7 linked regions of the Oryza sativa Japonica Group genome follow. The main gene of each other region encodes a partner of the protein of the gene in region 4 in a complex. Links are inferred from orthologs where the notes say so. Each region holds a gene or a part of one and is shown on either strand. Other genes may lie near its edges.

What was found.
Region 1: mediator of RNA polymerase II transcription subunit 16 (region 4) and mediator of RNA polymerase II transcription subunit 18 share a complex: the UniProt entries of both Arabidopsis thaliana proteins name them as parts of the mediator complex. The link is inferred for Oryza sativa Japonica Group from reciprocal best matches to the Arabidopsis thaliana genes SFR6 and AT2G22370.
Region 2: mediator of RNA polymerase II transcription subunit 16 (region 4) and mediator of RNA polymerase II transcription subunit 15a share a complex: the UniProt entries of both Arabidopsis thaliana proteins name them as parts of the mediator complex. The link is inferred for Oryza sativa Japonica Group from reciprocal best matches to the Arabidopsis thaliana genes SFR6 and NRB4.
Region 3: mediator of RNA polymerase II transcription subunit 16 (region 4) and mediator of RNA polymerase II transcription subunit 21 share a complex: the UniProt entries of both Arabidopsis thaliana proteins name them as parts of the mediator complex. The link is inferred for Oryza sativa Japonica Group from reciprocal best matches to the Arabidopsis thaliana genes SFR6 and MED21.
Region 5: mediator of RNA polymerase II transcription subunit 16 (region 4) and mediator of RNA polymerase II transcription subunit 8 share a complex: the UniProt entries of both Arabidopsis thaliana proteins name them as parts of the mediator complex. The link is inferred for Oryza sativa Japonica Group from reciprocal best matches to the Arabidopsis thaliana genes SFR6 and MED8.
Region 6: mediator of RNA polymerase II transcription subunit 16 (region 4) and mediator of RNA polymerase II transcription subunit 27 share a complex: the UniProt entries of both Arabidopsis thaliana proteins name them as parts of the mediator complex. The link is inferred for Oryza sativa Japonica Group from reciprocal best matches to the Arabidopsis thaliana genes SFR6 and AT3G09180.
Region 7: mediator of RNA polymerase II transcription subunit 16 (region 4) and mediator of RNA polymerase II transcription subunit 17 share a complex: the UniProt entries of both Arabidopsis thaliana proteins name them as parts of the mediator complex. The link is inferred for Oryza sativa Japonica Group from reciprocal best matches to the Arabidopsis thaliana genes SFR6 and AT5G20170.

What each region holds. Positions count from the first base shown.
Region 1 is NC_089036.1:5,238,011-5,242,160, reverse strand, and holds mediator of RNA polymerase II transcription subunit 18, read right to left. Parts: upstream 2,801-4,150; 5' UTR 2,608-2,800; intron 2,527-2,607; 5' UTR 2,497-2,526; coding exon 2,461-2,496; intron 1,297-2,460; coding exon 1,197-1,296; intron 1,126-1,196; coding exon 1,068-1,125; intron 990-1,067; coding exon 633-989; intron 541-632; coding exon 429-540; 3' UTR 241-428; downstream 1-240. Other genes in the region: brefeldin A-inhibited guanine nucleotide-exchange protein 1, read left to right, coding at 3,081-4,066. UniProt on the Arabidopsis thaliana protein: Component of the Mediator complex, a coactivator involved in the regulated transcription of nearly all RNA polymerase II-dependent genes.
Region 2 is NC_089042.1:28,450,880-28,454,879, reverse strand, and holds the start of mediator of RNA polymerase II transcription subunit 15a, read left to right. Parts: upstream 1-1,200; 5' UTR 1,201-1,331; coding exon 1,332-1,489; intron 1,490-2,281; coding exon 2,282-2,393; intron 2,394-3,259; coding exon 3,260-3,368; intron 3,369-4,000. UniProt on the Arabidopsis thaliana protein: Component of the Mediator complex, a coactivator involved in the regulated transcription of nearly all RNA polymerase II-dependent genes.
Region 3 is NC_089042.1:2,025,008-2,028,983, reverse strand, and holds mediator of RNA polymerase II transcription subunit 21, read left to right. Parts: upstream 1-1,214; 5' UTR 1,215-1,329; coding exon 1,330-1,653; intron 1,654-1,954; exon of another isoform or gene 1,955-2,037; intron 2,038-2,174; coding exon 2,175-2,246; intron 2,247-2,519; coding exon 2,520-2,571; intron 2,572-2,685; coding exon 2,686-2,762; 3' UTR 2,763-2,773; intron 2,774-3,242; 3' UTR 3,243-3,476; downstream 3,477-3,976. Other genes in the region: major pollen allergen Ole e 10, read right to left, coding at 3,802-3,827, 3,920-3,976. UniProt on the Arabidopsis thaliana protein: Component of the Mediator complex, a coactivator involved in the regulated transcription of nearly all RNA polymerase II-dependent genes.
Region 4 is NC_089044.1:19,711,486-19,714,985, forward strand, and holds part of mediator of RNA polymerase II transcription subunit 16, read left to right. Parts: coding exon 1-515; intron 516-919; coding exon 920-1,538; intron 1,539-1,622; coding exon 1,623-1,702; intron 1,703-2,327; coding exon 2,328-2,410; intron 2,411-2,949; coding exon 2,950-3,186; intron 3,187-3,500. UniProt on the Arabidopsis thaliana protein: Component of the Mediator complex, a coactivator involved in the regulated transcription of nearly all RNA polymerase II-dependent genes.
Region 5 is NC_089037.1:18,123,892-18,127,873, reverse strand, and holds the start of mediator of RNA polymerase II transcription subunit 8, read right to left. Parts: upstream 2,801-3,982; 5' UTR 2,629-2,800; coding exon 2,405-2,628; intron 2,282-2,404; coding exon 2,157-2,281; intron 1,380-2,156; coding exon 1,255-1,379; intron 1,150-1,254; coding exon 966-1,149; intron 831-965; coding exon 723-830; intron 510-722; coding exon 442-509; intron 122-441; coding exon 1-121. UniProt on the Arabidopsis thaliana protein: Component of the Mediator complex, a coactivator involved in the regulated transcription of nearly all RNA polymerase II-dependent genes.
Region 6 is NC_089035.1:8,936,712-8,940,751, forward strand, and holds the start of mediator of RNA polymerase II transcription subunit 27, read left to right. Parts: upstream 1-1,240; 5' UTR 1,241-1,265; coding exon 1,266-1,594; intron 1,595-3,367; coding exon 3,368-3,529; intron 3,530-4,040. Other genes in the region: pentatricopeptide repeat-containing protein At5g57250, mitochondrial, read right to left, coding at 1-1,048. UniProt on the Arabidopsis thaliana protein: Component of the Mediator complex, a coactivator involved in the regulated transcription of nearly all RNA polymerase II-dependent genes.
Region 7 is NC_089046.1:28,096,091-28,100,025, reverse strand, and holds the start of mediator of RNA polymerase II transcription subunit 17, read right to left. Parts: upstream 2,801-3,935; 5' UTR 2,595-2,800; coding exon 2,506-2,594; intron 2,419-2,505; coding exon 2,220-2,418; intron 2,124-2,219; coding exon 2,010-2,123; intron 1,847-2,009; coding exon 1,761-1,846; intron 1,675-1,760; coding exon 1,296-1,674; intron 1,098-1,295; coding exon 636-1,097; intron 560-635; coding exon 239-559; intron 1-238. UniProt on the Arabidopsis thaliana protein: Component of the Mediator complex, a coactivator involved in the regulated transcription of nearly all RNA polymerase II-dependent genes.

The sequences.
Region 1 (4,150 bases), on a different chromosome or scaffold from region 4:
AACTTGACTGCTAGACTTACATAATAACTAGAGAAAATAGTTTGATGCACACTAATTAACTAGAGAAAAACTACTGGGCAATTGAACGTCCCAAACCATGAGATCCTTACCACGTATGTGACCTAAATTAAAGTAAACAAAGCTACCATCAAATATATTGTCAGGATCATGACAAACTCCAGCTATCAGTCTACCACCAATATCGTCAAGCTTTCCCAGCATTCAGTTTCCACTCTTCAGTAAAAGCAAGCAATGATCAGTGTTCATTTACCAGTCTCCAAAGCAAGGTAGGCAGCATTTAGCATGTCATTACAAGAAAAACCATGGTGCTACTGACTAAAAGTTACAGAACTAAAGATGGCAACAATGTTTTAAGTGGGATGGTCAATGGAGATCATCATGGCATTGCAGCCAACACATATGACCGATCACAACGTTTTACCACCACCACCACCACCACTTGACATGAGTGAGGCGGCAGCAGCGCCTGCAGTCGGGACGATTCCAGTCGAATTGCCTGGTTTAGAGAGATGCAGAAGCCTGCAGTGTGTTTTGCAGTCAAAAGTGAGAAAATTCGTTTATGCCAGTCTAGTAATAATCTTGAGATAGCTAAGGAACACTTAGTTACTTACGGTGCTAGATATTCACAGAACGAAGTGACGGCTGAAACGACATCGTTGTAATTGTCAGCAGCAGCAGGGGCCGTGATTTCCACTAGCTGTATTGCAGGAGTGATTGGCACAGCTTCGTTGGTAGCATGGAGTTTTGTCATCTTGCTAACAGAGGTAACGGTCACAGTTATCTGGGCACCTCGGTGGAAACGAAATGCAAATCCTCCCTTCAGAACTTCATGATCTAACTTGTACCCTATACCGTAGAAGTAACGCAATACATTGTTGCTGGCTTTGCTCTCTACAATTGACCGCACAAGGACTGAGATTTGCTCTGCACCAGCACCTCTCATGGCACCTCCAACATGTCTTATGGTCCTACATGAATACTACTGGATTCAGAATATCATCAAATATCACAAAAATGTAAATTTTAGCAGCTGAAAGAAAAGTTACCAGGATGGCGTGGACTGAGCTAAGTCACACAATAAACGAACCTCTGATGGGACAACTCCTGTATGATTGGAAGATGTATATGAGTAACAATGGCATATGATCAGAATAATGAAAAAGTTGCAAACTGACCTAGATTTGGCCCACTTTTAAGACAGAGCTCATGCACTCTGACACGTTCTTTTGGGACACCAGAGAGGCCCTGGAGAAGAACCTCAAGAGCATCAACATGCTGCATAACAAGAAGATCAACCAAAAGTTACACTGATGTCAAAGCAATGAAAACTAAAAAAGGTTAAATGGTGTTCTAAGCACAAGACATTGACATGTGTATATAAATTAATCCCTTTATTGTAAAATTACAAACCATATAAGTGATATGATTCCTCCAATTGTATATAAAATAGAACCATATCAACATATTGAAAAGAGAATCAAAAAAAGTCTGCAAGTGGCAGAAGTAGTGCCCTCAGAGTGGAGAAACATGGTTGACCATATAGTGGTCAGCATGATCAACTGTATACTTTTTTTTTATTATCCTGAAGGGAAGTGTTGATATGCTGACAAGAGGAAGCTATAAGAGACTAACAAAAGGTCATATAGAGACAATGGATCGACGACAAAGTCTTAATGCTGGCATGAATTATTATTCTCTATTCCCTGATGTGTTTCGTTCAAGAAAAAAGAAATTCTCTATGGACATAAAGTTCCAATACTACTTCATGCTATATGGAGTGAAAAAATAACTTTGTTCCTAAGTAGGACTATTGAGATGTAATTTGACATTGGGGCTATGCAGTTGATAGATTTGCTACCTGGGATAGCTTAAGTGTTACCTTTCAAAAGGTTTTATCACAATTACATTTACAGAGGTCTGTTTTCAGGCAATTGACACCTCCAACAACAAAAATGCTATCTTAAATCAAGTGATAGAAAGTTCATTTAGTAAACGTCGAAATTCTACATTCCAACTCCTTTGGATAAGGTTACTACAAAGCGAAAGGCCAAATAACCTTATGCCAAAAATTAAATAAAATTCAGAATTCTAGATACAACATACAAGTAAGGAGCGCAAATGTCAGATCAGCAAACTTGACTAGTACCGATTTCCCAGAAAGGCCTACCATCATACAAAAATCAAGAATCCATGAAGAACATCACATCTACCATCACTCCGGCTTATGTTACGGGCCATGTATGATTTTCCGGGTAAAAGTTCAAATTGGTCATGTTTTACAGCATAAACAGACAAATCAGTTTCATATGAACAAAAATGCATCGTTGCATAGCTACAGATCACTCATTCTCGGAAGAAACTACCGTTCACTTCAACAACCGCTCACACAGTCACCACTCATACAAGTCTACTGGCGAAGTGAGAAAGAAGAACAATAACCTGGGTCTCGATGATCCCCTGCACCACGCACTCCATCAACCCCACCGCTTCTCGCTACCACAATCCCTGCAAGAGAGACAAACCCTGAAACCACGCTGCGGAATTTCGTCGAACAGCTACCTCGCAGCAACAAAAATTCACCCCCACCTTTAACCTAACAGCAATAATCCGCGGCGCGGCGGGGGCTGAGGCGTCGGGAAGTGAGCCGATCCGAGGCGCAAGAGCTCCCCCCACCTCGCAAACCCCGCGTCCCCGAACACTCCCCTCTCCGCCACTGACCGCTCGCCGTCCTCCGCCGCCTCCTCCTCCTGCAGCGATGGAGACGAGAAGAAAGAATTCCGAGAAACCGAGGGGGGTAAAGTGATAAAATGCCTCACCCCCGCGCGAAGGGTCGCGGCGTTTTTGCATCTAGGCCCCTGGAAGAATCTGAAATTTCAGTCATACCCTTCCTCTGACTTCTCCTCTTCCTCTTCCTCCCCCACGCGCTCGTCTCGTCTTCCTCTCGAATTCCCATTTTCTTCCACCTCCTCCTCGTCTCGAGGTCTCAGATCCAATGGCCGCGACGGCGACGGCGACGACCACCGCGTAGAGCGCGTGAGAGTCTGCGTGGACGGCTAACTATGGCCTCGCCGGCGGGGGCAATCGGCGGCGCGTCGCCGTCGGGGCGGGTGCTGGGCCCTGCGCTGGACCGGATCATCAAGAACGCGGCGTGGCGGAAGCACTCGGGCCTCGTGGCGGCCGCCAAGGCGGCGCTCGACCTGCTCTCCTCGTCGGCGTACGCGTCGGCGTCGGCGCCGTCGCCGCCGTCGCTGCTGCTCGGGTTGCCGGCGGCCGCCGCGGACGCGTGCATCCACGCGCTCCTCCTCGCGCTCGAGTCGGCGTCCCCCAAGGTCGCCGACCCGGCGCTCGACTGCGTCGCCAAGTTGCTCTACCACCGCCTCCTCGTCGGTGATCTCGGCGGTGGCGGCGGCGACGACGACTCCCCGTCCTCCAAGCTGCTCGCCGCCGTGCTCTCCTGCGGCGCGCTCGCCGACGACGCCATGGAGCTCTCCACCCTCCGCGTCCTCGTGGCCGCCGCGCGGTGCCCCTCCGTCGCCATCCGCGGGGAAGGGCTCGGCCAGATGCTCAAGACCTGCTACAACATATACCTCAGTAGCAGCAGCGGCGCCAACCAGCTCTGCGCTAAGCTGGCGCTGGCGCAGGTGCTGGTGATCGTGTTCGCGCGCGTGGAGGTGGACTCCATGGATGTGCGCGTGCGCACGGTGTCGATCACCGACATGATGGACATGTCTGACCGCAACCTGAATGACTCCAGCATTGTCCATGCGGCGCAGAGCTTCATAAACGAGACGATGGAGGGAAGCGATGTCCCTGAGCCGGGGTCCCCGGTTGAGCCGGCCGAGACGGATGGGAAGGAGGATGTTGTCATGAGCAAGATCAGGGAGGATGGGTTGACACTGTTCAAGAACCTGTGCAAGCTGTCCATGAAGTTCTCGACGCCGGATAATCCCGAAGATCAGGTCCTGCTGCGCGGGAAGGTGTTGTCTCTTGAGTTGCTCAAGATGGTTATCGACAATGCTGGGGCATTCTGGAGAACGAATGAAAAGTATGATATGATACTCATTATTGTCTTACTTCTGTGCATTTTAACAGCTCAACTTGCTGTGTTGCCTATCTATATAAATATTGT
Region 2 (4,000 bases), on a different chromosome or scaffold from region 4:
GTGTAATAGGACTGTACATTTATAATTGGGACTGTATGACTGGACGTTGTATTTGTGGTGGGACGGTGTGACTTGGACAGTGCTTTGGAAATGGGATTTGTGGTATGTATAGATATTCCGAGAATGCACGAGGGCAGAATAAATGGATTGCAACATGAGACTTTGTTTGGATGGATGCACCGTATTGCCAAATAGGAGTTTAGGGTTAACGCACGATAAATGAATTTATCGGTTGTTGTAGGATTATTTTGAGAGTGTTCGTACAAACGAACGACGGTAGCGAAGAAAGGATTTTAGGGACAACGCGTAGCATACAAATCCAATCGTCGCGGTAGGAATAGAATCGGAGATAATTGAATTGACGCATGATAAATAAATACGCCGATCGATTGTAGATAGTCAAGGGAGAGTGTTGGGTTTGAATTGATGGAGTGATTTTAAATAATCGCTGGGCGAGAGTTTGAGAGAGCAACAATATCGCGATAGGACAAAAAAGTTTTGGGTCATTGATTTATTTAGCATCGAAGCACATAACAAATTAGACCGCGAAGGTAAGAGAAGGTAAGGATGGAAAAAGAAAGGTATAGGAAAGGGTGTCCTTTCTAGAGATAGGGTTTAATCAAAATCTATGGCACAAATTCTAAACACACACAAATAAACAATAAATCCTAACATGCAAACTAGGCTATACCTGAGGGAAAATTAGACGTTGTGTGAGAAGGTCATATCTTTTGAAAATAGCCTATTATGAATTATATTTTGCAAATAGGGTTTTTAATAAATACTTTACTAATATATATTATTTTGTAATTAATTTTCCGAAGGCAAATTCCTTTTCAAAGGTTCGTATAAAATAGCCATAGCTATGTTTCTTTATTAAAAGGGTATTTATTTCAATATACTACCCATAGAGGGTTTTATCCAAAACGGTAACATGTATTTATGTGTAGCTTTATTTACAAAATAATTATGCTGAAGGGGTTCTAATAGAGAAGGGTTTTTATATATAGTTGGCATTTGCAAATGTTGAAATATTTCATAAATTTATTATTATATTTTATTAGTATAAAAAAGTTAGGGTTAACGCCATGCTACCGTATGCAAGGGGAAAGGAAACGCAATCGGAGTATGCTGTAAGTACAAGGGGGCAAATGCGAAATAAATACTAGGTCGGTCCAACCCCGAGGTTTCTTCTCCTCCGAGGCGAGGCGAGACTCCGATTCTAGCCTACCTCGCTCGCTCGCTCGCTCGCTCCGTCTTGTGGTCGCCGCCGCCACGAAGACCAAACCCTCGCAAATTGCAATCGAAGAAGAAGAAGAAGAAGAGGAGCCATGGATGGCGGCGGCGGCGGCAACTGGAGGCCCACCCAGGGGGCCGACCCCGCCGCCTCTGGGGGCATCGATCCCAACGCCCCGGCCCCCGCCCTCGCCGGCGGCGACTGGCGCTCCCAGCTCCAGTCGGAGGCCCGCAACAGGATCGTCAACAAGATGTAGGGCTTTCCCCCTCTCCCCCCACCCACTTCCCTTCCCTTCCCTTCCCCCAATTTTTCTTCTCTTCATCAACTATATAAAATAAAATAGAAGATCCATACATCGCATCATCCTTTTGTGCCTGTGGTCGATTCAATATGATGCAACTCTGATCCGATCTACTCCTACGTAGCTAGTTGTAATCTCATCATAATCTCCCCTTCCGTGCCCCTGTGTTTCTGTTATTTATTTATTATTATTTACTTTGTTAGTTAGGTCCAACTCCAATCCCTCCCCAACTATTTTCAGATTCTTATTAGCTTTGACATTCTTGTCTAGTTCACCTAGTCTACATATCCAATTGAACTCAATTTACATTTCATCAGACACAGTTATTACAGTATAGAGGTTTGCTTGGAAGATGCACCCCTTCTGTTCAAATGGATCTTCCCTTTGAGGGTCAGGGAACTATGATGGCAAGGCAAACTGTTTGTTGGAGAAACCGCCTACCTCTCTCGTTTATTTTACTTCGTTATGTTAGATCATGTATGTGCCACTCTCGCTCCGCGAGTCCTTTGTAGCTGTTGTCCACTTTTGGTCATAGCCACTATATTTGAGCGCGTAACTTGGGCTATGCCTACTCATTTGTCCAACATCTTGAATGGTAGACTGACACATTATGCCTTAGGTGACATTTCTCTTTTTTTTTTTGCACAAAACATCTCAAAAGCACTCTCTCTCTCTCTCTCTCTCTCTCTCGTTCTGCATGGGATATATTCGTCATTTACTTGCTTGTTGCAATCTGCGTACAGAATGGACACTCTGAAGAAGCATCTACCAGTATCAGTGCCTGAGGGGTTGAATGAACTTCAAAAGATAGCAGTGCGATTTGAAGAGAAAATCTATACTGCAGCCACCAGCCAGGTACACTTAGCCTCTTGCTAACTCATCGGGTTGATCCAATCTTTCAGTTGTGGGGCTCAAGCATGGCATTTGGGATCTTAGTAGAAGAAATCGATCGTCCAATGTTTGCAAATATGTCTGTTGATTTTGAAGTTTGTTAGAGTTTCGCCGTGAAGTATCCACATTTTCTTTTGAACCGATTGTAATATTTCGCACTTCCACCTAAATCAGATTATCCAAGGCTGCTGAAGCTTTTCCCCTTCCATTATCGGGGGAAAATCTCCTTTGCGCCTTGGATACAGGGACTAAGACTGATTCAGTCCTATGCTAGAGGTGTTGATGTCCCCACATTATTTTCATTGATAACATATCTCAATAGTAAATTAGTATTAATGAATTATAGAACTAAACAATATTTTTACCATGAGACTGGTTTCTCTCATTGGCCATGTTAAAAGTACAGGAGTTGTACCTTGAGTTCTGTAAGCCCATCATTCCATCTGTTCATGCTTGTATAAATCACCTGTAAAATATTCCCTTTATCCCAGATGAAACATCAAACAATGGTTTACTCCAGTCCTTCCTTTTGTGTTAGCGAGTATGTCATCATATATCCCACTTCATTTTGGTAAACATTTTTGTAGGAGCTTCTTTGGCTGGGTATAGGGATTCATAATCTCCAAATTCCAATTGTGTTCTCCTGTTCATACTTCATCAGGCTTATTCATGCCAAAGTAGTTTGCTGTATAGATAAGAATTTGTATAATTTAATTGATTGTATAAAAAAACGAAGCATATGTTTCAATTGTGCTAACCACCAGGACTTAGGGTGGCAAGTTATTTATTACAAAGCCAAATCTTACCATTGTATTCTTTTGTATCACCAGTCTGATTACTTGCGGAAGATTTCTCTAAAAATGCTCTCTATGGAGACAAAGACTCAACAGAATCCTGGAAACGCCCAAGTGATTCAAAACCAAAATCCCCCTGGCTCAGGTATCATATGAAGTATATTCAATATCCGATTCTGAAATACTGGAGTAATAGTAAGATATTCGCTGGTACCATATTTTGTTCACCGTAAAAGTCCTTGTATATATTTTTCATGATGTAACTATATTGCATGTGTGTTTACAAGCCCCATTTCTGAGAGGAAACCATCCAATGGAAGCTCTGCCACACTGGGTACAACAGTGCTCTCTCGTTTTAGCTTGTATCGGATAATGCTCAAGCAAGTAAATTAAGGCGAGATGCCTGTCAGTCGAAACCTCCAAACTTGTTGATTACTCGAACCTAATTAAGTAATTGCTAATCTTGATAGCAAACACACCATTTGGATGCTGGCCACGAATCCTTGCATGGTCATATTCAAAGCTTTTGGGCACCAACATCAAAACAGACGACCCCTTCAATCTGCTTGTTCTAGTAGAGGCTAGATCAGCCATGGCTTCCAAAGTAGAAAAGCAAAGCAAGGCTCACACCATCACGTCTGCTGCCAGCAGCCCAAAGACCAAAGATACACATAGCTTTCTAGCACTCATTCTCTCTCTTTTTAATCAAAGATTAGTATCATAGTCTAGCCCATTGGCAATACACAATCACTTCATCGATATAACCTCTCGCACTGG
Region 3 (3,976 bases), on a different chromosome or scaffold from region 4:
TCAATGCTGGGGTAACTTGCTGCTGTCCCGAAGCAAAAAACAACAATTTTCCAGTGTTGAAATCAATGTCATCCAACAATCCAAGACATGTAAAACGTTACCACTGGATGAATGATGCAAGAACAATGGTAAATGTCAGATTCAATTCAGGGTTCTCGTTCTTGTGGAGTCACTCACATTCAGATGATGCGGCTGCGACGAGGGCACACCACCCAGCTTCTGCTGCTGATACTTGCTCCCGTTCGCCTCCTGCAGGAGATCACCATTGAAGAGGCTGCGACAACCCTAGCTCCTCCTCCTCCTCAGACCATTTCCTCCATGATAGGCTCCCTCCGTGGCCGCGGCCGCCGCGTCCGCCCTCGCGCTCCTCCTCCTCCTCCTGTCCCGCTCGCCGGTAGCACGAGGAGCCGCGTCCACGTCATCACCTACCGCTCCCCCGCCGCCTCTGCGGCCGCGGCCGCGCTCCCGTGGATCGACTGGGCGCGCACGGCGTCGATGAAGGCGGCCCCGGGCTGTTGTCCTTCGCCTCCGATCCGGGCAGCGTGGGTCGGTCGCTGGCGCTGCTCGTGGAGTTCGCTCATGGTCGGCGGCGGCGAGGCCCGGCATGGTCGGGTGAGGCAAGGTGGGAAGTCACGCGGGCGGCGGGTGAGGCTCATGGTCGGCGGCGGCGGCGAGGCCCGGCATGGTCGGGTGAGGCGAGGTGGGAAGTCACATTGTCGGCGGCGGCGAGGCCTGGCATGGTCGGGTGAGGCGAGGTGGGAAGTCACGCGGGCGGCAGGTGAGGCGGGCGGCGTGGCTGGCGTGCGTTCTTTTTTTCGTTCTTTTTGGCGTGCAGTTTCTTTTTTCGGAGCAAGACGCGGTGTTAATCCGGTGCTAATTGTAACCGCAGGATTAATCCGGCGCTAATTGCAATCATGGTGTTAATTACACTAAACAACTCGTGCTTTTTATATTAGTCTAGATTAGAGTCCAAGTCCGATTCAATTAGTGTTAACTAATCGGGTGAGTTAATTGTTAGTAATAGTTTGGTTTAATCCTGGGCCGTCCGATCCATTTGTGTGTGGATCAGATCTGGACGCGTGGTGGTGATGTGATGCAATTTTCCGCGTGGGGTCCCTTGGTTCCTTCGTAATCAAGCTAGCCATGGGCCCACGTGCCAGTCAGAGAGTGGCTTGCGCACTGTCGATGTGCTGGGCCCACCAGTTTTCTTTGATGGGCCTAGATGTAATTGGGCCTTGGTGGATAGAGAGGAGGAGGAGAGAGAAGGAGAGGGAGAAGAGGAGGAGGAGGAGGTCGCCGGCGGCGAGGAGGGGGACGAGATCGCCGGAGATGGACATCATCTCGCAGCTGCAGGAGCAGCTGAACGAGATGGCGATGGTGGCGGTGAACACCTTCGGGACGCTGCAGCGGGACGCGCCGCCGGTCCGCCTCTCCAACAACTACCCGGACCCGCTCAACCCCGCCGCCGCCGCAGCAGCAAACCCTAACCCCGACGACCCCGCCCAGCCGCAGCCTGGAGCGGCGGCGGCGGCGGCGGCGGGAGCTCCGGCTGCGCAGGCACAGGCTCCGCCGGCGCAGGCCCAGCCGCCCGCGCTCGACCTCGCCGAGCATCCCAAGGCCATGAGCCACGCGCTCGTCCTCGCCGCCAAGAAGGTACGCGTCTTCCGTCGCTTATCTTCTCTGCTTGCCACCTGCTCGATGAAATGCCTGAGTGCCTGCTGGTTCTTGGGGTCTGACGCTTTAGGGCTTGGACTGTAATTTTTGGTGTGACCAGCCTTAGCATTTTTGTGTGATTGCAACCACGGTCAGGGTGCCTGGTTCTTTGAAAATTCTTCTACTTACAGAATCATATCTTCTATAGTGAGATTGTTCATGTAGTGTGGTAGAGTACTTTAGTTGCATTGTGCTGTTTTTTAGCCCTCTCGAGATAATTTTGAATGGATCTGCAAAATAGGAGCTTCACTCATATTATTCCTCGCAAAGAAGGGTTGACGATGATGTGGATCACACCAATCTTTGTACTGTTCCTCGCAAAATGTAGGTGGGATGATGGTATGCAGCACACCAACCTCTGTCTCCAGAGGGCAAACTTTGCATCTGAGAGTACACTTGAAATGTGCTACTAGCTACTGTTTCCAATACCGTTCTCTTTTTTTTTTGGTTTTTTTATGCAGTTTGATGCTCTTGTTTCTGCGTTGCCACTATCATCTGAAGAGGATCAGCTGAAAAGAATTAAAGAGCTACAGGTATGTCTCAGTTTTGCCCTCTGAGCAGTACATTGTGAAAGGGTGACATTAAGCTAGTGTCTTGTGAAGATGGTATCTTTGTGCATGTTTCCTTCTGTTTTTTTTTTCCTACGCCTTGTGGATGGAGTTTCATACTAAGGTTGTCCTCCTTAGTCGCTTGCTTTCTTCTGAATGAAGGTTTAGCAGACGCTCGGCAGCATGTCCTGCCATAGTATCAGTATTCATGATACTTGTGTCCTGCAGCTAAAATGCTTATGAATTTGAAATGCGCAGGCAGAGAATGAAGTTGTAGGCACAGAGCTTCAGAAACAACTGGAAGCTGCTGGTATGCTTTGCTATTACATTCTTGGAATATTTTGCCTTCATTATATAATTCCTCACCATGTTACAACTGATTATTTACAAGTCCAGTGTTTTACATGTCTTGTTGCTTTTGTAGAGCTGGAGCTGAAGCAAGTTGAGGCTCTTTTTAATGAAGCTACAGATCATTGTATAAACTTGAAGAAGCCAGAGTAATAGTTATCAATGTAAGTTTGGATTTCTCCCTTCACTATCTCAATAAATCTTTAGCTTTTTTTGTGCTTGCAAAAAATTATGCTTGCGCTTATGATATGGGATTATTTTGTGACCAGCTGTATAATCCGCTTGACTTCCCAAACTTGGTACACTGTATTATCAGGAAGTCAGGATACTGATAACAATTTTGTTCTTATGGTGCTTTTTGCAGTACAATATTCTACATGCACCATTTACTAGATGGCTGTTGGCATCATGTCCATGATCAATTATTGGTTTATGTAGTTTATGTACGATGATGGCCTGAACAAAACATAATTATGGTGGATGTTGACCTGTTATATTAATCCCTCGCAAGATGCTTTCATAAAACCCTCTGGGGGCTTGTCTTTCTGTTGATCAGAAAATTCCAACACAGTGTTGTTACGTATGATCGTAGTATCACTAAAATGACTTATGTTTGCTTTCCTGTCATATCAGGTAACGGAACCCATTTTGGAGTCATGAACAGATGAAGGTGGAGATGTGAATGCCAGCTGCCGATGCTACATGTAGACTCAGTTTTAGTATCAAGTTAGCTGATGCTCAACAATATTCCAGTAGTACTTGTTGGATTAGGAATTAAACCTAGCACTGTAATTTACAGTAACTTGAATAGTTTCAAGCTGGTTCGTTTAATCTGAAATAATTTGAGCATAACTTCATGTTTATTTATTATAGTTGGGCCACTGTTCGTTCACAGCAGCACAGGACCATATAGTGCTATGCAAATACAATTAAGACATGCCTAGGATTCATACTCTTTGAACTTTGAAGAACTGCACTGAAGATATGGAACAATATTATCTCGGTATAAAGCATTCCTCTCTAAAGATTACCCAAACATTGAGGCTAAACATGACTTGAATTCTAGCAACTCTGACACTGAAATATAGAACACCATATTTTCTAGGGGCACTTGGACAAACAAAACATCCCTTGAAAACTTTATTTGTCAAGCTCCAGAGATTGGCTGGCTAACTTGGAGCAAACTCTCAACTCAGGCATACTTGCAATTGCCAGAACCTGCAAAGGTTGGCAAGAAAGCCATGTAAATTTGCAGGATTCAGGTGAAAGAAACAGCAAGTGAAGCAAGCTTTGAAGAGGCTAATACTTACTGGGATCAGTGATGGTGATGAGGCCAGTGCCGTTGAAGAAGCAATTCCATGAGTTCC
Region 4 (3,500 bases):
CTCAGCACAACCTAGATGGTTTTCTACTAGCAAAGGGCTTTTAGGAGCAGGGCCAAGCGGCATAATGGCTGCTGATGCTATTATTACTGAAACTGGAGCATTACATGTTGCTGGTGTTCCCCTTGTTAATCCATCTACTGTAGTGGTTTGGGAGGTGATGCCAGGCCTTGGCAATGGTATTCAGGCAACTGCAAAGATAAATGCAACAAGCTCTCTTCCTCCATCACTAAATCCCCCACTCTGGGCTGGTTTTGCTCCACTTGCATCTTACCTCTTCTCTTTGCAAGACTACCTTGTTTCCGAGGGCGCACAGACAAAAAAACAGGCACAGGTAGATAATGAGACCACTGAGGTAGCATCGATCCATTGTTGTCCAGTTTCCAACTTTTCAGCTTACGTCAGTCCTGAAGCTGCTGCCCAGTCAGCCACTACCACAACATGGGGATCTGGGGTTACCTCAGTTGCTTTTGATCCCACTCGAGGGGGATCAGTTATTACAGTTGTAATAGTTGAAGGTGCGTATATGACACCTGGGAAATGAATTAGTATGATGCAATTGTCACATCTCACTATGACTATTTGTTTCTGATGAATGGCATGAACATCAATGCCATTCATAATCACCACACTAATCCTATGATCATCCAACAGCTTTAATAGTAGGAGAGTTAATCTAACTATGTATGTCCAGAGCATGCTTATACATGTTTTAGCTCCCTTTAGTTGCTTTTGTTGTTTCTTTGATTTGCTCTGGTAGCTTGTGCCATGGTAATAAAAGTTCTTGTCTGTAAATGCTATATGCATATTCTTTTAAGGACTTTTGGGGTCTCTGAAATTTATTAAGTGAATCGGTTGATCTTAGGCTCTTGGCTAATGCTTATTTATTTTTTCTGACAATTGTTAAACCACATACTTCCAGGGCAGTACATGTCTCCTTATGATCCTGATGAAGGACCTTCCATCACTGGATGGAGAGTCCAGTGCTGGGAATCTTCAGTCCAACCTGTTGTTCTTCATCCAATATTTGGAAGCCCTGCAAACTTTGGTGGACAGCCACCTACACAGACTGTTTGGTCCACAAGAGTTAACAAAAGCATCCCACCATCTGAGGACCTTAAGAACCCTCAATCATATGTTCCAATGCCAACAACTTCAGATGAGCGGAGTTCTTCTGAGTGCAGTGTTGACAGGGCGAACCGACTTAGCTTTGACCCTTATGATCTTCCAAATGATGTCAGACAATTGGCCCAAATAGTTTATTCTGCTCATGGTGGTGAGGTTGCAGTTGCATTCCTGCGTGGAGGTGTGCACATTTTTTCAGGTCCAAACTTTGAACAGGTTGATAGCTATCATGTCAATGTTGGCTCAGCAATTGCTCCACCAGCCTTCTCCTCCAGTGGTTGTTGCTTGGCATCAGTATGGCATGACACACTCAAAGATCGAACCATACTAAAGATAATACGTGTGCTTCCTCCTGCAATTCTTAATGCTCAGACAAAGGTTAGCTCAGCTGTTTGGGAACGAGCAATAGCAGATAGGTATCCACCCAAGTTAACAGAGGTTGATTGAAATGATTTATTTGTTGAAAATGTTTTTTTTTATAACTGCGATCTTTTTAGCAGATTTTGGTGGAGTCTATTGGCTGGTGTGGATTGGTGGGATGCTGTTGGCTGCACACAAAGTGCTGCTGAAGATGGTATTGGTAAGGATGCTTATGCAGATGCAATTTAAAATTTGTGTATAGTATTTGCATTTCAATTGTGTTCTAGCTGTCCACACAATTAGAAAAGTAGGGATTATCTGCTACACGGTAGAATTTCCACAACTGTCACTCAACCTCTTAAAGTATATACTTCCTCCGTTTCATAATGTAAGTCATTCTAGCTTTTTCCACATTCATATTGATGTTAATGAATCTAGATAGATATATATGTCTAGATTCATTAACATCAATATGAATGTGGAAAATGTTAGAATGACTTACATTGTGAAACGGAGGGAGTAATTAAGAACAGTGTAACCAAGCAAATCTCTGTTTGGTTGTTTATAATGTTAAGACTTTAGAGCTGATTGCACATTTATGCTCCCAATTTGAAAGCATTGTGCATCTGCAGTATGATGAATTGTGTTTTGCTTCATTTTTCCCATTTGGATGTCTCAATATGTTAACATTATTTCCTGGTGTGAGTTGCAATACATCTTTTTAAGCTGATACAGAACTTTTCAGTAAGTTTCATCATTTTCTACATATGGTTGGTTAACTATTTCAGCACCTGTAACATTTATATTTGTCCATGATAAACTAAATCTCTTGCTTTTCCTTCCAGTCTCACTGAACAGTGTGATAGCTTTGCTGGACGCGGACTTCCATTGTCTTCCAACTATACAACAGAGGCAACAACACTGTCCTGTAAGTGTGCTGTGCTTTTAGTACATTATGTGCAGTTTTAAGCACAGGCCTTCAATTTTTCATCATCTACTGCCTACTGCCATTACTATGTGACATGCATGTCACAATATCTTTTTGGGTTCTTAAAGATTGTACATTCACCAATCACCAGTCTTTATTCCACCAGTAGTTGAAAGGGGGATACGAATCAAAATATAATCAAGATGACTTTTTTCCTTTTCTTTCCTGGACATAGTTTTTTAGTATTCTTGTGACAAGTCACTAGCACTGCTTTGCAGTTCTGAATGAACATTTTAGCATGAAGCTTGCCAAACTTTTCTATGAACATAAATTATATCTCTGGATGTATTGGTCAGAGACCATTTACGGTAGTATGTAGTTTGCTACTTTATTCATAATGCAATATATTGTAATTTGTGAGTTGGACAAGATTTGTTTTTCTAATTGTGTGTTTACCTTTTACTTCAGATTTTGAGGACTTGAAGTTGCAAGGCTATTGCTTTCTTCTGTTACTGATTAGTCTATTTTACTTATTGCAGAATCTTGATAGGATAAAGTGTAGATTGTTGGAAGGAACAAATGCTCAAGATGTCAGAGCACTTGTGTTGGACATGCAAGCAAGATTGCTTCTGGATATGCTTGGCAAGGGAATTGAGTCTGCCCTGATAAATCCATCAACTCTGCTACCTGAACCGTGGCAAGCTTCCAGTGACATGTTATCTAGCATTGGGCCTGACAAAATGACTGTTGACCCAGCTCTACTTTTAAGCATCCAGGTATACTGTGTTTCATGTTCTTTTGATTTCCTGGTCCACAGTTTCAGTTCAATTTGCTAATCTCGTTTTCCTTTTTTTGGCTATAGACTTAATATGGGCAAATGATGTTGCAAACCTTTTTGAATGATAAGCTATTTGTAAACCACAACCTATTCATGCATGAGGATGAGGCATGATATGCCACAGATTAACCATGCCATGTATGGAATTTACAGTATTTACAGCAGTATTTTGCTGTTTTTATGTTCCAAACCGACTACGATTCAAACAGCCTCCAGATAGCTTTCATCATAAGCTTTGCTCCTAGGTGTGCA
Region 5 (3,982 bases), on a different chromosome or scaffold from region 4:
TCCCTGACCTAGGGGAGTTTGCATATGGCATTGGAGGAGTAGATACATTTTCAAAATTAGGCGTTCCTGTAGCTCCAGGTGATGGAGCAGGTCTGCCAAGTAACTGTCCTCCAGACACCTGCTATTAGAATGAAGGCCCAAATTTGAACATCAAGATAGAAACATCAAAGGCCTGCATGAGGTCAGGTTGGTGATTGCTCTTATGAAATGCAATTGTCTTAATAATAGTTCAAGGGAAAGCATTCTAACCAACACTTAATACAGTTGATCATAGAAAGGAATACCAATATACCATTACAAATTATATGGCAAATTGATACACGGGAAACAAAACATCTGCCTTTTGTAACTTTTTTTGCTTTCAGCCCAACTAGCAATAATATGGACATATTCTATTAATTTCGTAATGGTCAAAGCTGTTATTACTGGCACTAGACAAACCTGCATTGGATTTCCCTGGGCGTTGACAACATTAGGTACAAATGTTGAGGTATTTTTGGGGTACACACCTGCAAGTATAGACTCTAGTTATATGCTTTTGTTGAAGCATTGTGTGACATACAGACTGCACAAATGGCAACACTAAGGGTAGCAGCAAGTTATTGATTATTTTTATATAAAAAAACATCTAGAGCAGATGAACAACTCATTGATGCTATAGTTCCAATGCTCAAAACAAGGAGTGAACCATGGAGAATTGTAGGTATGTCACAGAAACAGACCAGAATTATCACCAAAATTATGTGCCCCATCTCCAAAAGGAAGTACGTCCACTAAATGGCTAGGAAGAGATGAATACATCTGCCTTTGGTCTCCCGGTACACGCAATCCTGGATAATCAGACTAAATCATCATGGACTATAAACAATGAAATTGTTACATAAAAGGAGAAGCTTATGCTAAAATTAAATTCAAAGTAATTTTTAAACTGATAGCTATATTAATACACCATTAATGCTTATCACCTTCACCATAATTTACCGCTGCTCTAAGTAGGCCTTCCTGCTCCTGTATCTTTGCAGCCTGTGCCTTGTCCAATGTAGGACCAAGATTTGCCCCCTGACGGGCTCCTAGACCATAATTCTTGCGACTTTCAGCAATTACTTTCTCAGCTGTTTCACATGCACTTCCAATCATATCTATCCTAGTCTGAAAGGAATAGCAGCAAGTCCCATTAAAATTAACAGATAATGAAAAGATCACGCAGGTATAATAAGCTACATAGGTTTGCATTTTCCAGACAGAAATAATCACCTTTAACTTTTCAATTTGTCCAGAAACTGTTAGATTCGTTATTCCAGACAACAAGTTGTCCCTCTTTGTAGCTTCTTCAGCTTCCATCTCAGGTAACAGCTTTGACGACAGCATTACAGGCAGTACTGCAGTACTCACGAATATCAAACAGGACTAACGATGTGGTAAAACTAGAAGCAGATGAACATGGGAACACAAATTGCGATGCATCCCAACCATATACAGCAACCGTGACCAATTAGCATCTTGTTAGGTCATTTTTAGATTCCTATCACACTTATCCCAGAAATAGGAAAGTGTTGACAAAAATGGCTACCCATGCTACATTAGGAATATCTTTACCAATTTACCCTAGGATAAAATTCGTTTAACTAAAGCCAATTAGCCATATCAGCCTGAAGTTTAATCTCAATATTTAAACCAAAGGAATAACTATTGCTAGGAAGTGAGAAAGGTCAACAATTGGTTCTTCATGTGTAAAACAACTCGTAAAAGAAATGACATGTATATATATGAACTACTCATTACCAAATGCAGCATAACCATAATATCTCATATATCCTTGTTGCTCATAACAGAAATCACATAGTATATTTCTTGGTTCTCATAACAGGTGACCTGTCTTCTCATCTGGCTTTGGGCACCATTGAACATGAGAAGACTCTGTTTGGTAAGGTCATGGAATCAAAAGTGGTCTGCTTAGCTGGGTAGCGTGTAACAGCTGCCCAAGGCAATATTTTGTGAAGGTTTGAACTACGCAGAGCAATTCCATTCTACATTATGTTCATGTATTCTTCTTCCCACAAACTTTATGCTTGTGGATCTACCTAACTAGTGTGGTTATTACTGATATAGCGATCGATTGGTGACACAAGAGAAGAGAAGTGGAACAGCAAGCATACTGGCAGCGTTTTCGGCATTAACGTTTCGGGGGTAGACCACAAACACCTTGGACACCTTCTTGATGTCCTCCACGATATTGAAGAGCTCCATGCTCACCATCGAGAATTGCCCAAGCACATCCTGCCTGCCATACACGCACCACGGCACGAATCAGCATTGCATAAACCCTAGAAAGGGGAAGCTGAATCCTCTACAGAGTCCAGCGGGCGATCGGGGGATGGGGGAATGGAGGTGAGGCAAGTACTACCACTTGGGGGAGGCGTTGGGGTTGGCGCGGGCGATGGCGTCGAAGTCCTCGAGGATGCGGGAGATGGCCTTGTACAGGCCCACGGCGCGCGCCCGCATCCCCTCCAGGTTCAGCTGCTGCTGCACCCCGGCGCTGAGCCGCTCCGTCCGTGGCTGCTGGTCCCCTCCTACGGGCGCCGCCGGGTTCGGCGCCCCGGCGGCCGCCCCTAGCGCCGCCGCGTCCATCCGAGCTCGCCGGATCTGCTGCGTGGAGGAGCTCGCGGGAGTTGGGGGGCTTCACAGGAGGCGGAGATGGCTTCACGCCGGCGGCGGAGGCGGCGGAGATGGGCCGTCGGAGTTAGTAGGGCGGCGCCGGAGAATTTGAGTGTTGGAGAGAGGGAGACCGCGAGATGAGGACGGGAGGGGGAGGTGGTTTTTCCCCGTTTTCACGAAAACCGGTAAAATCGGCTCAAAGTTTGTTAAAGAAAAAAAGAAAAGGTTCGCTTTGAATATTTTTTTTCAATAAAAACTTACCAAAGAAAACCGAGCAATTTGTGTTGTCCTGTAAACCATGGGATACGAGCGAAATAGACAACAAGCCTTGTTTAGTATCCGGAATTACTTCATAGTAATAGGATACGTTCCATTTCATGTTATGTTGCTTTATATTGAGACGAATGAAGTAGATTAATTTATATATTTCACGAGGAAATTTTTTGATTTTTTAACCGTTAGATTCGCTCCAATATTCATGTAACTGGGGATGGGAAAAATGAATTTTCTTGGAAGAAACACTTCTGATGCTATGATAGCATGGTTTTTTAATGTAGTTACATATAGTTAATATAATTTTATTATAAGTAGTGAAGTCGTATAAGTTGTAATGGGAAGTACTAAATTTATGACAAACATTACATGATTAGAGTTCATTTTATGACATGTTCTATTTTTTGTCAATTAGCTCCAACATAAACTCATGTTTTGAGCAAACCCCAAACATCAATATTTTGGTCCCATGTTATCTCCTTCTACTATTGCATAGGCCAATTTCATACTACCCCTTATAAGGTTTTAATCCAACCCAGACATAGCGTTGTATGTACTACAAACAACAATAAATTATAGTAGAGTATTCTTGCTTGTGAACACTGAAATCATATCATTTAACTCCTTATATCTTAAATCTCAAGTTTTGTTGCTTTCCATAAAATTGAGGACAATGCTAACAGTAGGAGCTAAGATCATGGTACTATTTGTTACTTTTTTTAAGTAAAATATATGGCCGGTCTCTAAACTTGTGTTGTGCTGTTACTTAGGTTCATGAACTTGAAAATTACACGTTTAGGTCCGTGAACTTGGTTTAGGCTGTGTTTAGATCCAAAGTTTAGATCCAAACTTCAGTCCTTTTCCATCACATCAACTTGTTATACACACACAACTTTTCAGTCACATCATCTCCAATTTCAACCAAAATCCAAACTTTGCGCTGAACTAAACACAGCCTTAATGTATCACCTTGGTCCAAACGTCCTTTGGCTGTGTTTGACCGCCAACGTGGCATGCCACGTAGGCAACACTTTCGCTCTCAGCTCCCTCCGCG
Region 6 (4,040 bases), on a different chromosome or scaffold from region 4:
AAATTGAGTAAACATATTCATCCACCACCACTCCTGTCTGTTCCAGTTTCCTCACTATAGAAAAAGCATCATCCAACCTGTTTCTCTTGCAGAAACCACCAATCAATGATGTATAAGTGATCAAATTCGGCTTAGCATCCCTTCGGTTCATCTCATCCAAGAATCCCATCACTTTTTCCACACTACGTTCTCTGCAAAGTCCATCAATAACAGTAGTATAACTAACTACATCAGCTGCAATGCCCTTATCTAACATCACCCGATGCTCACGGAGCCCTTTCATCAATAACCCGCTACTCATGTATCCATGAACCAAGCTGCCATATAAAACAGCATCACCAACCAACCCCTTCCCTTCCATCTCCCTTACCAATTGTGCTGCCTCAGTAGTTCTCCCTACACGGCCAAGCACATCGACAAAAGCGGTTAATGTGATCAAGCCTGGCTCAAATCCATTGAACTCTCTCCTCACCCTCCTATAGAATTCCAGCCCATCCCCAGCCTTCCCGACCTTGGAGAAGCCTGAAATGATCACGCTGCAAACACGATCATCCACCTGACACCCCGCTGCAGCCATTACGTCGAACACCTTGAGCGCGGTCTCCATGTCACCGCGGGCACACAGCATCGTCAGGGCCACACGATACGTGGACGGAGAAAACACGAGCCCGCACTCCTCTACGCCGGCGGAGAGCACCTCCAGCGCGCGGCGAGCATCGCCGCGCACCGCGCAGGCCCGGCGGAGCAGCGCGTCCCAGAGGCGGCGCGCGGAGGAGGTTGCCGGGCCGGCGAGCGCGAGGCGCGCTGCCGCGTCGCGCGGACGGGAAGAATCTAGAAGCGCCGAGGCGACCAGGAGGTGGGTGCGCGCGGTGGGGCGCACGGAGTTGGCGACCGCCTGCGAGGCGAGCGCGCCGACGAGGCGGTGCCTCCGCCGGCGGAGGAGCGCCGCCAGTAGGATGTCCACGCGGCGCGGCGTGACGGCCCTTCCGAGCTTGACCAGCGACGGGAGCGGCGGTGGTGGTCGGGGCTCGCCGCCGGCGAGCGGCATGGCGGAGGGTGGTGGTGGTGGCGCCGCCGCCGCGTGGGAAGCGAAGCGCAAACGTTCGAAACGTTGGAAGCCGATGGCGTGGGCCGAATTTGGATACGAGCTTGTTTGGATCTGGGCCTGAATAGATATGGGCTTGTATTGGTTCTGGGCCTGTTTGGATATGGGCTTATTTAGGTGAGGCGTTTCGAGTCGGAAGCGAGAAGGGGAGAAGAGGAAGATGCAGCAAGCGCAGGCGTCGGCGGTGGTGGCCGCGCCGGTGGCGGCGGCGGCGGCGGCGGCGGCGGGGGCGACGGGGCACCAGCACGAGGGGGCGAGGGGTGACGCGCCGCCGAAGCAGGTGGCGCAGGCGATGGAGCGGCTGGGGCGGGCGGGGCGGCTCATCGCGGACATCCGGCTGGGCGCGGACCGTCTGCTCGAGGCGCTCTTCGTCGCCGGCGACGCGCCCCCGCACAGCGCCCCGCAGCACGTTGAGAAGACCGCGCTCGCCGTCGCCCAGGAGGAGGCCGCCATGCACCGCCACTTCGACGACCTCCGCGCGCTCGGGAGGTAAACCCATCTCCGCCCCGTGCCCCCACACTCTCCGATTCAGAAGTTTTTCATCGATTCCTTAACCTTTGACTGTTACGTCGCAAAATACAACTAATTCCCTCCGAGAAGAACCATTCCCGTCATGATTCCACGGTTGCAGTCTCAAAATGAAAAAGGAACATTCCCGTCATGATACCACGGTTGCAGTCTCAAAATGAAAAAGAAATATTCCCGTCATGATACCACGGTTGCAGTCTCAAGAAGAAAAAGGAAAACCCTTGTCTAGATAATTTCTGGAAATTGGTGGCTGGGATATTGATTTAACTTCTTTGGATTGTATGATTGGACTTTTTTTAAAGTAATAATCTCCTTCCCAGTTTAGGCATGGCAGCACATTTTTTTTCCACTAAATTGTTCTGTAATAATGGTTAATCACCATAAACTGATGCCACACTCTTCTTTGGTGTTATCCAATTGCTTGTATCTTGTGAAACCCTTCTACCTATGAAACCTTGCTACGAGAGATGCACGGACAGGCTTAACTGCTCAACTTTGGTATATGAACTTTAGCATTCTAGAATATTGGCTGGGTGCCTGGGTCTATCAGATTGGGATGCATTTCTGGAACTCGTGTTCCTTGGCTTGTAATAGAGCAATATTTAACCTTAATTGAACAGCTTCAGCTTGAACTTGTTTTGGGGCTGTTTGGATCAGGGACTAAAATTTTAGTCCCGGTCACATCAGATGTTTAACACTAATTAGAAGTATTAAACGTAGATTAATGAAAAAATCCATTTCATAACCTTGAATTAATTCGCGAGACAAATCTATTGAGCCTAATTAATCCATGATTAGCCTATGTGATGCTACAGTACACATGTGCTAATTATGGATTAATTAGGTTTAAAAAAATTGTCTCGCGAATTAGCTCTCATTTATGCAATTAATTTTATTATTAGTCTACGTTAAATACTTCTAATTAGTATCCAAACATGCGATGTGACAGGGACTAAAATTTAGTCCCTGGATCCAAACACCACCTTAGTGCCACTCAGGGCTCGAACTAGTTTTAGTATCACTCGTGGATGGTAAGGATGTAGGGTAGGTGCTCACTCTATAATATTGTCTCAGCAGAGCAGTTATGTGTTGGGTACAATTGTTTACATGTGACCACTTGACCAGTCGTTTGTTGAAGAAGTCTGCAGGCATTTGGAAAATCCATGTTTCATGGCAACATGGTACTATTCTGTCTGATGAATAAAATGTCCAAGCAATATGAACTGCTTGTTAAACGATGGTTTTTGAGTCTTTCTGCAACCTGAAGTTGCTAGATAAACGGAAGATGAAATTTGCAGGTGATATAGTTATGATTTTAGACAGAATAGTTAGTTTGTGAAAATCCTGAAGTTAGGAGTACTAGATAAGCTTAAGCCATGTGACTGAGATTTTTTTAAGTCAAAGGATATTAGGAGCCATCTTCAATAAAGTTAGGTATGTGAACAGGATGGATTCACTCGATTTTGCTGGTGCTTTCTTATTGTTCTTTCACAGTATTCTTGTTATAGTGTTTGGGTTAGTTGTGCTTGTTGCTATTCATGATGTTTTTACTTTGTGATGAACCATCAATCATTGCTTACACAGTTCTCCTGGTAAGTTCCAATTATTTTTATTGAACTTCAAGTTTCAAGTTCCACTATTTCTTCATAAGTGTTGGCCTAGCCAACTGAAAGTAAAGATCTAGTTTTTAAACTGTAGCCTAATAAATATCTTGTATCCATTGCTGTTAGGAAGGCAATTGGAAGAGTCTGGAGTTCTAAATGGAGCCCTTAAAGCCAGAGGCAATTCATGGGGCTTGCACATGCCACTTGTTTGTCCAGATGGTGCAGTTGTGGCATATGCTTGGAAGCGTCAGCTGGCTGGTCAGGCTGGTGCATCAGCTGTTGACAGAACTAGGTAATTTCATTACCATCATTGTTGTGTTGTATGTTTGCTGCCACAATATGATGTGCTTATTTGTCTTATTTATATTCTGTTGATGTGTGAGATTTCATCAACCGTGCATTGCAGAATGCAGATTAAATATTTATACCATGTTATTTCTTCCTGCGATATACGATAATTTTCTTGGCCGATAAATTTGTACTGTTGTTTCCCTCTTTCCCCTTTAAATTTGTACTGTTGTTTCCCTCTTTCCCCTTTTTCCCTTATTTCTCCTTTTTCCCTCTTTTGTTTCTTCTTTTGCACTTTGCTTTCTCTAATCCTTCTACTATGATAATTACATTCTTCCAAGGTGTGGAGTGCTTTTGTAGGAATTGAAGTATTAGATCAGTTCTTGTTTTCGTTGCATCCATATTTTATTTTGATTTTACACAGAATGCATCGGAAATATTCCAACGCCCTTCATTCATGTGCTTCTTTAGATGTATGTACTTATGTTGAAGGCTTCAAGCCTTCGGATCATCCC
Region 7 (3,935 bases), on a different chromosome or scaffold from region 4:
GTAGGTCAATAGGCACAAATGAAGATTTCCTCAGGGAAAAAAACTAAGAAAAATGCATTACCATTGTGCATTTCACATTCAAATGCAAGGAGTTTATGTTACACATTTGCAATGCAAGAAATAGTCTGGCTCATTGCATTATCAATGGACCATAATGAATTCCAATGGTAATAACTTTAATAATTTCATAAACATGATCTACCAAGAAATAATTTAAATAGTATCATCAGAAGTTTACCTGCTGCAGAAGCATTGTTGGGAGGTCCTCCAAGTCACAATTGTAGCTATTTACCAAATATCCATCGGAGGGCTTCCCAGTCAATGATCCAGCAATGCTTGGGGAGCCTTCACCCATTAGACTAATTTGGCTATCTTTCACGATCACCTTAGTATTGAACTGTGACCTGGATTTGTACTTAAGTTCATGGTTATCAGAAGGCTTTGCAATCCGATCTGCAGCAAGGATAGGCTGAGGAACTTTCAAGCATAGAGACCAGGAGGAAGTTCGAGAATGCCAAGTAGGAAGAGAACGCAAATGGAGATATGGAACCCTGCTGACCTGCAATACAGAAAGGAAATTTAAATAATGATCTACATGCAAATATGTAGCATCAACAAGCTTATAGGAGCTATACCACACTCTCAAGCTCCACGAGTACTTTGTTAGAAAATATCCTGTGAGCCACTGTCAAGCAGAAATGACCTAGCAGGCCATAATCATCACCTGCAACCTGAGCAGGACTTTGGTAGCGACCAATGTTAAGGGATTTCTCCCTGACCTTCCTAAGAATGTTCTCATGAAACAATTGTAGCAAGTAAATTTCCAGACTTCTGGGATTAGGAAACCCTGTCACGTCTTTTCTTAAAGGGTCCAGCTTCCCATTCATAGTGACCAACACAAGATTTGAGGCATCCTCTGAATTGGCATGGTCTTCATGGTCTACCATTTCTGAGTCACTACCATCTCCAGAATGAGCAAGCGAGAGGCACAATGAACATTCCTGACCAATAGCTAATTGGAGAAAATCTTCACGCATTCCAGTCACATTGATGCCTTGAGATTGGACAAATGTCTCACGGATCACCATATCAAATACCTACAAAGGCATACACTAAGCTAAGCCACAGAACGATATACATAAATAAATAATGATAAACCCGGGGAGGGAGGGGTGGTGGTGGTGCAAGATGTCATCACATGATATACAATAATTTTCCATGATGCTATAGTTAAAACTTAATTAAGAGCATTCTATACAGGAATTCTTAGCATGCCAAGCAAACACTTAGCTGACCTGCTCCTCAAATATTGACTTGTGGATGTTGCGAAGAATAGAATGTGCATGTTTGATGGATTTATTGACATCATCATTGTCTGTTTCAGAGGAAGTGATGCTTGAGATGCCATCTTTCAGTTTATGACCGTAGTTTTCCACACCATTGGCACTGTCCCCTCGAAAATTAAGACTCAAGAAACGGCAAGATTTTTGAGGGACTTGTACGGACAAAGTGCCTGATGAGTCTTGGTCAATTGGAATCAATGGTAATGATGACAGTCGAGGCATTGCTGCTGTGTCCAATTGAGAAGTGTCGATCAGATCAAACATGAAGCCCTCACTTCCTGGACCACTTCCACCAAACCGTTGCCGCTTCACTTTCCAGTTCTGCTGCAATCTGCCACCAATCCGCGAGTAATTCATGGTGCAAACTTGGGTGAAGTGGTATTGAAATAACAACTCAAGTTAAGCAACAAGACATGCCTGATTAATGAGCCATAGAACCTAGACTCTTTTTGGAACTGCTGCTCCATTGTTTTGGCAGATTGTTTGAAGTAGCGTGACAAATGCTGCGAGGACACAAATGAAGATCACAACAGGAAGCATGATAGATGCAAGACGGAAGAGGAAAGTGGCAAGCGATTACAGAAACAAATTGAGTTTGTTTTAGGTTCCATTTTGTTCCTTAGCCGTGAATTGAAGTAATCAAACATAGGCAGTAGGGTGACATACCCGAACGCGCTGAAGCTTGGTGGCTGCAGAGACTGCGGTGTCAACTAAGGTTTCGGTTGGCAGCGATTTGGGCTTGAGCATCCCAGCGACTGCCACTGCATCATTGGCTTCGACCTGCATTATCAAGTAGGATTGTCTCCTCTGTCAGGAATACAAACAATCGCATGCAAATAGAATGGGGTTTGCAGTATTGTGTGTGGGAAAACTGACAGTGGAGATGAGGTCAATGACGACGGAGAGCTCCTGCTGCGCCTGCTGCAGGCTCTCCATCATGCCCTGCCACGGCCATGCCTGCTGCTGCTGCTGCTGGGCGGTGTCCTTCTTGGGCTTCTTGGCGTCCTTGTCGATGACCCAGGAGAAGTCGATGCGGCGGATGGCGGAGAGGCGCTGCTCCTCGCTGCTGGTGTCGCTGCGGAATCCGAATCTCAGTGAACGGAGAGAGGTGGGGGTTAGGGTTTCAGGGGAAGGGAAGAGGTTGGTTTGGTTTGGTGCTTACGGCGGGTAGTGCTCGTTGCCGGCCTCGTCGATGGCGTGGAGGCGCTTGATGGGGAGCTTGTCGAGGTCCACCCGCACGGCTTCCTCCATGGCGAAGGCGAGGCAGCGGCGGCGGAGGGCTTAATTAGATCGGAGACAATTTTTTGAGTGAAGGAGGCACTGCCTTGGGGCTCACGAGTCCCGCTCAAGAGCGGAAGGGATCCCCCCGCGGGAAGCAGAAGCGGCGGCCGGCGGGGTGGGGGCGGCCGCCGGCGAGGTCGTCGGGCGGCGGAGTGAGGAGGAGCGAATTCTCGATCGAGTTTGGGTGCTGGACTTTGGAGTTTCTTCTCTGGAAGAGAGTATGATGGGCCTTTTTTGACTTTGGGCCGGCCTAACAAGTAAATGTTGCTGGGCTGGCCTGGACCAGTTCCAGACTTCCACTACTCCGAATGGGCCGGAGTTTCTTTTTTTATTTTCCATTTCTCAAGGCCCCTCGGGAGCAGGAATTATCTCCTAGCAATGGTAAAACGAAGGCTTATATCAGAGAGCTTTTTCTTATCAATGCCTACAAGACAACAAGGCCTGTTCTTCTGTTGTTCGTCCATGGATCACAAGTTTCAGGGAACAAAACTCTCTTTGGTGCCGGTGGCAATGATATTCCAAACTCAACCGCAAGTTGTGATCAATCTGCAACGTATCAGGGACGACGGATATTTCACAAAATAAGTAGTAGTATGTCGATTCTTCAGTCCAGCTTCTGAATTCCAGGCCTTTTGAAGTTGAGCAAGCAAGTAAATTCAGATAATCTCTCTGCAAACCAACTATACAGTGAGTGACTGAATTTCTACTTGCGCGGATCGATGTGCCAGAGCATTGCCAATCACAGAAACAAGTTGCAGATGAGATTGTCATACTAGCTTACAATCAATGCCACCATCCGCTCAAAACTCACAGCAATCAATCACAACCTGAAGAAACAATGAGGACAAACCACTGTCCACCGGATCGAGTTGGCAAAACCTGGACGACCAAGGGGGTTCGGAGAATAAAACTCCGACCCCTATTCATGAAAAAGAAAAGCACCGCAAACAATTCGTATCATAATTCTTGCAGGTAACACCGTAACACCATAAGTTTGAGAGAAATGCGCCAAATACAACAAATTTGGCGATTTGTTTGTTTTCTCTTTTTCAAAGGTAGCATATAGATTTGCCTTGATAATAGTATCAACAGATGCAGCGCTATAACCATATATACTCCATTTCTTCTCCATTCCCTTGCTTCATTGATTTATGACATACTCAGAAAGACTAAAATAAGCATCAATTTCACACTTCACAGGCCTGTTGTTCACAACTACTGAGCTGCTGTGTTATTGTATTGCTACTAATCAATACCAGCATCTCTTTAGAAAAATCATTAGCGATACACAGCTTACATTTTATTGGATAT